Linked DNA regions of Bombyx mori. The protein of the gene in region 2 purifies or fractionates together with the protein of the main gene of each other region. This does not show direct contact. Links are inferred from orthologs where the notes say so. Each region holds a gene or a part of one and is shown on either strand. Other genes may lie near its edges.

Evidence for each region. The genes of interacting proteins can lie anywhere in the genome.
Region 1: the proteins of Cdk7 (region 2) and general transcription factor IIH subunit 5 purify together in Homo sapiens (affinity purification with mass spectrometry; 7 studies listed by BioGRID and IntAct, with this or other methods). This does not show direct contact. The link is inferred for Bombyx mori from reciprocal best matches to the Homo sapiens genes CDK7 and GTF2H5.

Annotation. Positions count from the first base shown.
Region 1 is NC_085109.1:11,979,538-11,983,706, reverse strand, and holds the start of general transcription factor IIH subunit 5, read right to left. Parts: upstream 2,845-4,169; 5' UTR 2,718-2,844; coding exon 2,683-2,717; exon of another isoform or gene 2,453-2,682; coding exon of another isoform or gene 2,315-2,452; intron 1,679-2,314; coding exon of another isoform or gene 1,532-1,678; intron 1,414-1,531; coding exon of another isoform or gene 1,308-1,413; intron 794-1,307; coding exon of another isoform or gene 657-793; intron 42-656; coding exon of another isoform or gene 1-41. Other genes in the region: meiotic nuclear division protein 1 homolog, read left to right, coding at 1-41, 657-793, 1,308-1,413, 1,532-1,678, 2,315-2,452. UniProt on the Homo sapiens protein: Component of the general transcription and DNA repair factor IIH (TFIIH) core complex, which is involved in general and transcription-coupled nucleotide excision repair (NER) of damaged DNA and, when complexed to CAK, in RNA transcription by RNA polymerase II.
Region 2 is NC_085127.1:9,225,651-9,228,756, forward strand, and holds the end of Cdk7 (cyclin dependent kinase 7), read left to right. Parts: intron 1-500; coding exon 501-673; intron 674-1,387; coding exon 1,388-1,529; 3' UTR 1,530-2,554; downstream 2,555-3,106. Other genes in the region: tubulin polyglutamylase TTLL13, read right to left, coding at 3,008-3,106. UniProt on the Homo sapiens protein: Serine/threonine kinase involved in cell cycle control and in RNA polymerase II-mediated RNA transcription. Cyclin-dependent kinases (CDKs) are activated by the binding to a cyclin and mediate the progression through the cell cycle.

The DNA of each region.
Region 1 (4,169 bases), on a different chromosome or scaffold from region 2:
TTGAAATATTCCATCAAAGTCAAGATTTTTTTCAATTAAAGGTAACCTCATTAAATTACAACTTCATACATAGCTTTCGATGTCACTCTGCCCTAAACGATAAGATGCCAGATGTACTCATATTAAACAGTATTATTATAGCAATGTTTAAACCCAGCGGTTAGGTGCCAATTTTAGTAATGAACTTTGTAATTAAACATGTTTATAAATGACTTTCACAATAAATAATTAATGAAATCTGATAATACTGATGGGTGGCACATACATTGTGATGTCTGTTGACTCCAGTAACCTAATCACATACACCAGGGGTGGGTATTAAGCTCTTCCACTCAACTAAGCAATAAAATATATCTCTTATTTAGGATAAATGAGACAGTGTGAAATAGTGTCTGGAGTTTCTTACTTACTAGCAATGCAAGGTCGTTTTTTAATTAATTGAGAGCAAAGTAATAATAAATGAAGTTTTCACGAATGTTTACTCATCATTTGACTTACTTGGTAGGAGTCCAATTTCTTATTTGTTGGTGATCATGTTAGTTGAGTCACCAAATAGTCAATAATTAGTTCAAAAGAAAATGTTTAGACAGCACATAAAACAGAAGTGGCCATAACAAAATCTATTAAGATAATATTTTATATTTTAACTTTTACAGGAACTAGAAAAAATAGCACCAAAAGAAAAGGGTATTACAATGCAATCAGTTAAAGAAGTGATTCAGAGTCTAATTGATGATCACCTGGTTGATTCTGAAAAAATTGGGACTTCAGTGTACTTTTGGTCTTTCCCAAGGTACTATGTTAAACAACTAACTAAATAACTGGGAACAGAACAGTACATTATCATCTGGCGTCAAATCTGGCCTATTTCTGCCATTAAGCAGTTATTTATTTCGGTTTGAAGGGTGTTAGGTCATCATGCTGTTACAACTGAGACCTTAGAAATCTTGTCTCAAGGCAGGTGGCAGCATTTATGTTGTAATGTCTATGGGCTTCGGTTACCATGTAAAACCAGGTGGACTCATGTAAGCAGTAAAGCTGAATGAATAAATTTTTGCCCAATATGGGAATCGAATCCACAACTTTCGGCAGTCAGGGGTGCCAACTTTTGCACCACCGAGTCAGTCATTGACTAAGACTAGTTTTATTATTTTGAATAATAAAATTTACATGGACTTTACACACTGATGCTATGAGAAATTAAGAGTAAACAATTGTGCTTTTTAAAAATTTATGACTGCAAAATTATTTTTCAAATCAAGCAAGCTGTGGTAATGCCATGCAAACATTAAATAAATTACTTGTAGCAAAGCAAAAAGTACCAAGAAGAGGAAGCTACAAGAACTCCAGAATGAATTTGATGAATGTACGAAGAAGTTAAAGAAAACTGAGGAAGTCCTTATAGCAGAATCGGTCAGAATATTTATAGTTTTTTACTTAGTATAGTATAGTCTATAGAGTTATAATGAAACTTAATTCTATTCTATATTTATCAGAGACTGATATATTTATTAATTGACTTTAATATTAGAAAGGCAGAGAGATATCTGAAGAAAGAATAAAAATATTATCATCTTTAGAAGATCTTCAAAAGCAAGAGGCTTCATATAAGAGAGAATTACAAAAATACAGAGAATCTGATCCTGAATATATTGCACAACTGAGACGTGAAATAACTGTAAATCCAATTCTTATATTAATGTAGATGAGATGATGTCTTAAGGTCTATATTCCATTCAAGCTCATATTAGCGCCCCACTGTGAGCGCAATAGATAAGGCCAATGTCCCAAGTTTAAGGATTTAGTAATTGATGAATCAGTTCATGGCCTTTCTATAGTAGTATAGTATTTAGTGTTTCTGAAGTGTTAAGTAAGTTACTGAAGTTGATAGGTATCACAATGTGACTTCTGCTACCCACTTTAATATTGCACACATTAGATCAGTTACTATTATATTTCATAAAGGCCAAGTGAACTGATCAAACTGGAATGTGTATATTTTTTTTGGCAGATGTAGGCAGAATGACAAAACTGTATGAGCTTACAACTGGTAATGACTTTTAAGTCTAACATGTCTATTTCATGCTAGAAAATATATATTTTATTATTTGGTGGGTAATATTACTCAATATAACTTATCAGTATATTAATTAAGCATTGTATTCATTATTTAAAAATAAGGAAAACAAAGTACATTTAAAAAAATACTATGTTTTGATAAATAGCTTTCTGTAGGTGGTAGTATGTATAACCAAAGACATAACTATAATATTATCAAATAATAATATTGGATTAAAAATGTTTCATTTTGTAGGAATTGAAAACAGCCAGCAACAGATGGACAGAAAATGTATATATATTGAAATCTTATATAAAAAATAGTTTTCAAATAGATATTGATGCACTAGAAGAAAATTTTAACATACCTAAAGATATGGATTACATTGAATGAAGTTTTATATACAAGGCATTCCTCATAACCTAGGCCCAGAACATTAAATTTAAGTATGGGAAAAACCAAAGAAGAAATTCTTTGGCAAGTTAATATATTGTACGTAGTAAATTGATTAACTGATGTAATTTAAAATTCAAATCATTAAAGCACATTGTAACGATTCTAACTTTATCTGTAAGTTTGCATATGTAAAAGTAATATTTGTGAGAAATAAAAATAATAAATACCATTCAACGAGGACACCTTTCATTACATTCACCATGGTTCATTGTTTTAGAACTTGTCACTTTATGTAATAATTAATTGTAAATAAAGTATGTAGGTACCTATTTACTCCCTACTTTCAGTAGATACCATAGGTTATACAGAATACTATTACTATTATAAACTATTATTCATAGACTATACACTTAATATCTATTATTTATGGGTAAGTGTGGAAGGCTCATTACACTTTGCTAAATTTAGTCGGTGTAATAGCATTCAGTAAGTTAACCTGCTAAATTCAGTAGCAAGGATGGTTTCTGACTGACTAAATCATTTAGAAGCCTAATTAGAAACGCATATAAGAAGGTGTAATCGCATTTAGTTACTTAATGATTTCAGTCGTCCCATAGCTCTCCGTGCGTAAGGACGGCTTAGTTTGTTTTTTACTTCCGAATAAAAAGTATTTATTTCGCTCACCTTTATTAAATGTGCCAAACATTTATAAATAGCCCAACTTGTTTCAGGGATAATTTTTGTCAGAAGGGGTTGGGATATTATAAAGAACTAAAAATTAAATCTTGATACGAATTTCCTGTTGCAAGAAATCTTAATGTTACAACCAATCTTTCTTTTGGACTTATACTATCGTAGGATTAGATATGTAATAGTTATATAATATAGATATATAATAGACTATAGTAGTATCGTAGGATAGTATCCTGCTTTTGAAAAAAATTGTGCCACAAGGCTTAATATTTGGTCAAACGACCTCGAATCCATTCGTAGATCATTTCTGAAGTCTGCTGGTTCTAAATCATTCTTTTTTTTTTTTTTTTTTTTTTTTTTTTTTCCTGCCTAAGCTGAGAGCCTTGAGAGGCTATATCAGCGTAACCCTAACTTTTGTAGGTGAGCTCACGGGGCTCAAACCTGACGATGTTGCTAACACGAACCCTAGCAAGAGCCGTGCTTCGCAGAATCTACCACCGGATCGGAAACGCGACCCACTGAGAAGATCCGGCGAGAAACTCAGTGGGCTGTGTCTAAGAGTTAATTTACTCGTCGAGCCCTTCGTCGCAAGCGACGGGTTCGACGAGAACGGTGACCGGTGCTTGAAGTACCTAAAAGCACCGTTAGTGGATCGGGAGGATCCGAGATGACGTGTTTTGGGCGACGTCGACTGCTTTCCATTCTGTCCGCAGGATCGGGAATGTAGTTACCGGCGGCCACGATGAGAGGGTTCTCGTGTCGTGCCGCTTTATCGAAGTGGCGCATTGACGCCGACTGCATATACTTACTGGTGGACTCGAAGTCCAGGTCGTCATGGAGGTCGACGTTCCTGACGAACCACGGGGCTCCGACGGCTATCCTGCAAAAACGGGATTGAATGACTTGGAATGATTTCAAGTGTATGCGGGCCGCGTGAGCGAACACTACACTTGCATAGGTCATGACGGGGCGTATGCAAGTTTTGTAGAGTGTCACCTTATTTCTAAGGGACATTTTACTT
Region 2 (3,106 bases):
GTTTGATATCTTTTGTGACAGTGAGATCGCTGTAATGAAGTCGGAAAACATTTAGAACTGTTTTAACTGTGTATACAGGGTATACAGGATAATGCGCATATCAAGTTAAAACGCGATATCGCTAATGTAGATCACGTTAAACTTGTTAAAAAAATCACAATTAGTAGGATAGGTAGGTTCATACAAAGGCGGATCCGGGGGGGGGGGGTCATGGGGGTCATGACCCCCCCCTGAGCTGCTTCCAAGACTTAGGTGAACCACTAATTGAACATAATGATTTTATTTATATATTTTGTCACCATACAGATTTTTTGTAACTGCATACCTTCAATATTTAATTAATTTAATATAATACAATAACTTTGTATGATGGCGGAATGAACACATCGAATATTTGACTATGTGACCCCCTCCTGGCGCCAAAGCTGGATCCGCCCTTGGGTTCATAGTCAGTTAGTTACAGAGAGATCACTATAGAAAACTCCTCGCTCTTATTCCAGGGTATGAAGACTCTCACAGATTATGTGCAATTCAAGCTGTTTCCCGCTCAAGAACTACGGCATATATTCAGTGCGGCGTCTGAAGATCTTATATTTTTATTGGAGAGCCTTTTAGCTCTGTACCCGCCAAATCGATGTGATTGCACGCAGGCCTTGCAAATGGCGTATTTTAGGTAAGCTATTTTCATTGATAAATAAGTACTATACAGCGGGCAAAAAATAACTTAGGTATTTCGGTCAGTATTCGTATCGCTTGATGCGAATATGATAGGGTTCATACCAACAACAGTTTTCAAGTTTTCCAAACGAATAAAATATATATCGCTGTAACGAGTTCAGGAAAAACTTCAGGATACAGAACAGGAAAAATTTCGTGTAATCAAAATCCGCTTTTATATGTAGGTTTGTACATCATTGATGGTAGGAAAATCGCTCGCAAGAATCTTTACCTATGTCTTGCCTATTTCTGTATGTGTGAAGCACCCTATAATCCATAATTCTTTCTAAAGTATATTACATTTCGACTGTGTCTTCATGTCGCGAGATGGGTCACACCTGTGGGTTCCGGCAATCACTTGTGGGCTGCCAACCTAGTGAAATAAAACTAACGTGTATAATTAACTGTAAATATAAGTAATGTAACGAAATCATCTTGAGCACCGTCTACTTTATATAAAAATACTCTGAAGAGACATTCATGTGCATTCACTTAAGCGTATAATTATTATAAATGACAGTACCTACAACTGATCGATATGTTTTTTTTATACGACAATGACTTTTCCAAATTCTAATTACAATTTATGAAATATTTTATTAATCATGTGTCCTGCATTGATAAATTTCTTGGATGTTTGTAAAACTAAATAGTTCTATGCCTATTGCAGTAGTAAACCGGCGCCATCGGTCGGCCCTAAGTTACCGATGCCTTCGAATATTTCAAAACTAGAGGTGGAAAAGCCGTCTTTGAAAAGAAAACTCCTGGACAACATTGATGGAGGCTCACTAGCGAAAAGACTACAATTTTAATGTTATTCCAATTTAGTACAATAATTTAAGTGCAATTTAGACAAATAAAAGATGTATGGTTGACTTTGTCATAATTGAACCACTTGGAATGTTTTATTAAAAGGTTGTCGTTGACTAAGAGTAAAAAAGTTGACTGATCTTTTTAAAAATATAATAATTAATAATAGCGACGATCCCTACGTATAAAGCGATATAATAACAAAACAAATTTTAGTGTTTTATAAGAACGCTATAAAGATGCATTTAATATAAATTATATATAATAAAGTATATATATCTTTTTTTTTTATGTTTCAATATACAACTTGTTAAAACGTTTTAGCGGGATATTTTTCAACAAACAAATTTCTCAAAAATTTCTCACCTACGTGGTACGCCGCGTAAAGTAATGTAAAATAATATCAATTAAGTTGAAGTGTGCATTTGCCGTGAATGCAAGTATTTGGCAACCTTACAAGATAATTAAATTTTACAAATATTAAGTTCCAAGTTCTTACGATACGTGCGTTCTACGTAACGTTGGAGCGCATTTAAATACATTTTGGTAAGATTAATAAAGCTCACCGACTGATGTTCTCTTATAATTTGCATTATTTTAAACACATCTTTAAACATTTTAGAGTCGTCGGTGAGCTAATTATACTGAATACTGTAAATAGCCTTGTAGACTAACAATGGAGCAAGTCTGATATTTTTAAATGAATTAGTTGAATACAAGTCACGTTGTCGAATAAATTTGACAAGTTAAATAATACTTTAATATAATACATTAATTTCGAAGTTAATAAAAAATACATTTTTATATAAAACAATTTTGTGAATATGACATTGAAGGAAACATGGGTAAAGCTTGAAGCTTTATTAAAAATAATTATTTAAAAAGTCAAATGAAACATTTTTTTGACATTTTAAAAGTATTCGTTATCATTAAAAAAAATTAGAACAGTTGTTTTAATGTAACACAACTAAGAGTTAAATGTTGGAGCATCGACTTTTAAGTTATAAAATATATATCATTGATATTTTTTTGTTTTATTTATTTTATTAATCCAATTATTATTTTTTCAGAAAAACAGGTCTACTGGTTATTTTCTCGGCAATATTATGAGGTGAAATTTAAATTTAAATTTTAAGTCGGTGAGATGAGAGTTGACTCGTTCCGTAAACATCAAATCACATAAAATTCTGTCTACAAAGATTTAAATCCACAATGAAAATTGTTGAACGACTCCCCAAAAAAGGGTTAAAAGTGTTACCTTTTGAAGGTTTTTTTAAAAAATAGATTTGATTTACTACTTTTGATGACAAGAACGAAAGCTTACTATTTATCGCGGGACAAAACTCCAGCCAAGAAATATCTACATTAAAAAGGTTTTGCACAAGTCCACGAATGAGAAATTAATAAAAAAGAAAGTAATTTCAAATTTAATGCGTATTTTAGGAAAGTAGGCAAATTCAATATTTCTCAATTTAAACAGTCATTTCCTAATTAATAACGTTAGTTGCGCGCACAGCTGGGTTCTGGTGATCGTATCAAAGTATTCAGTGTTAGGTATACAACGATTCCCGTTTGGGTG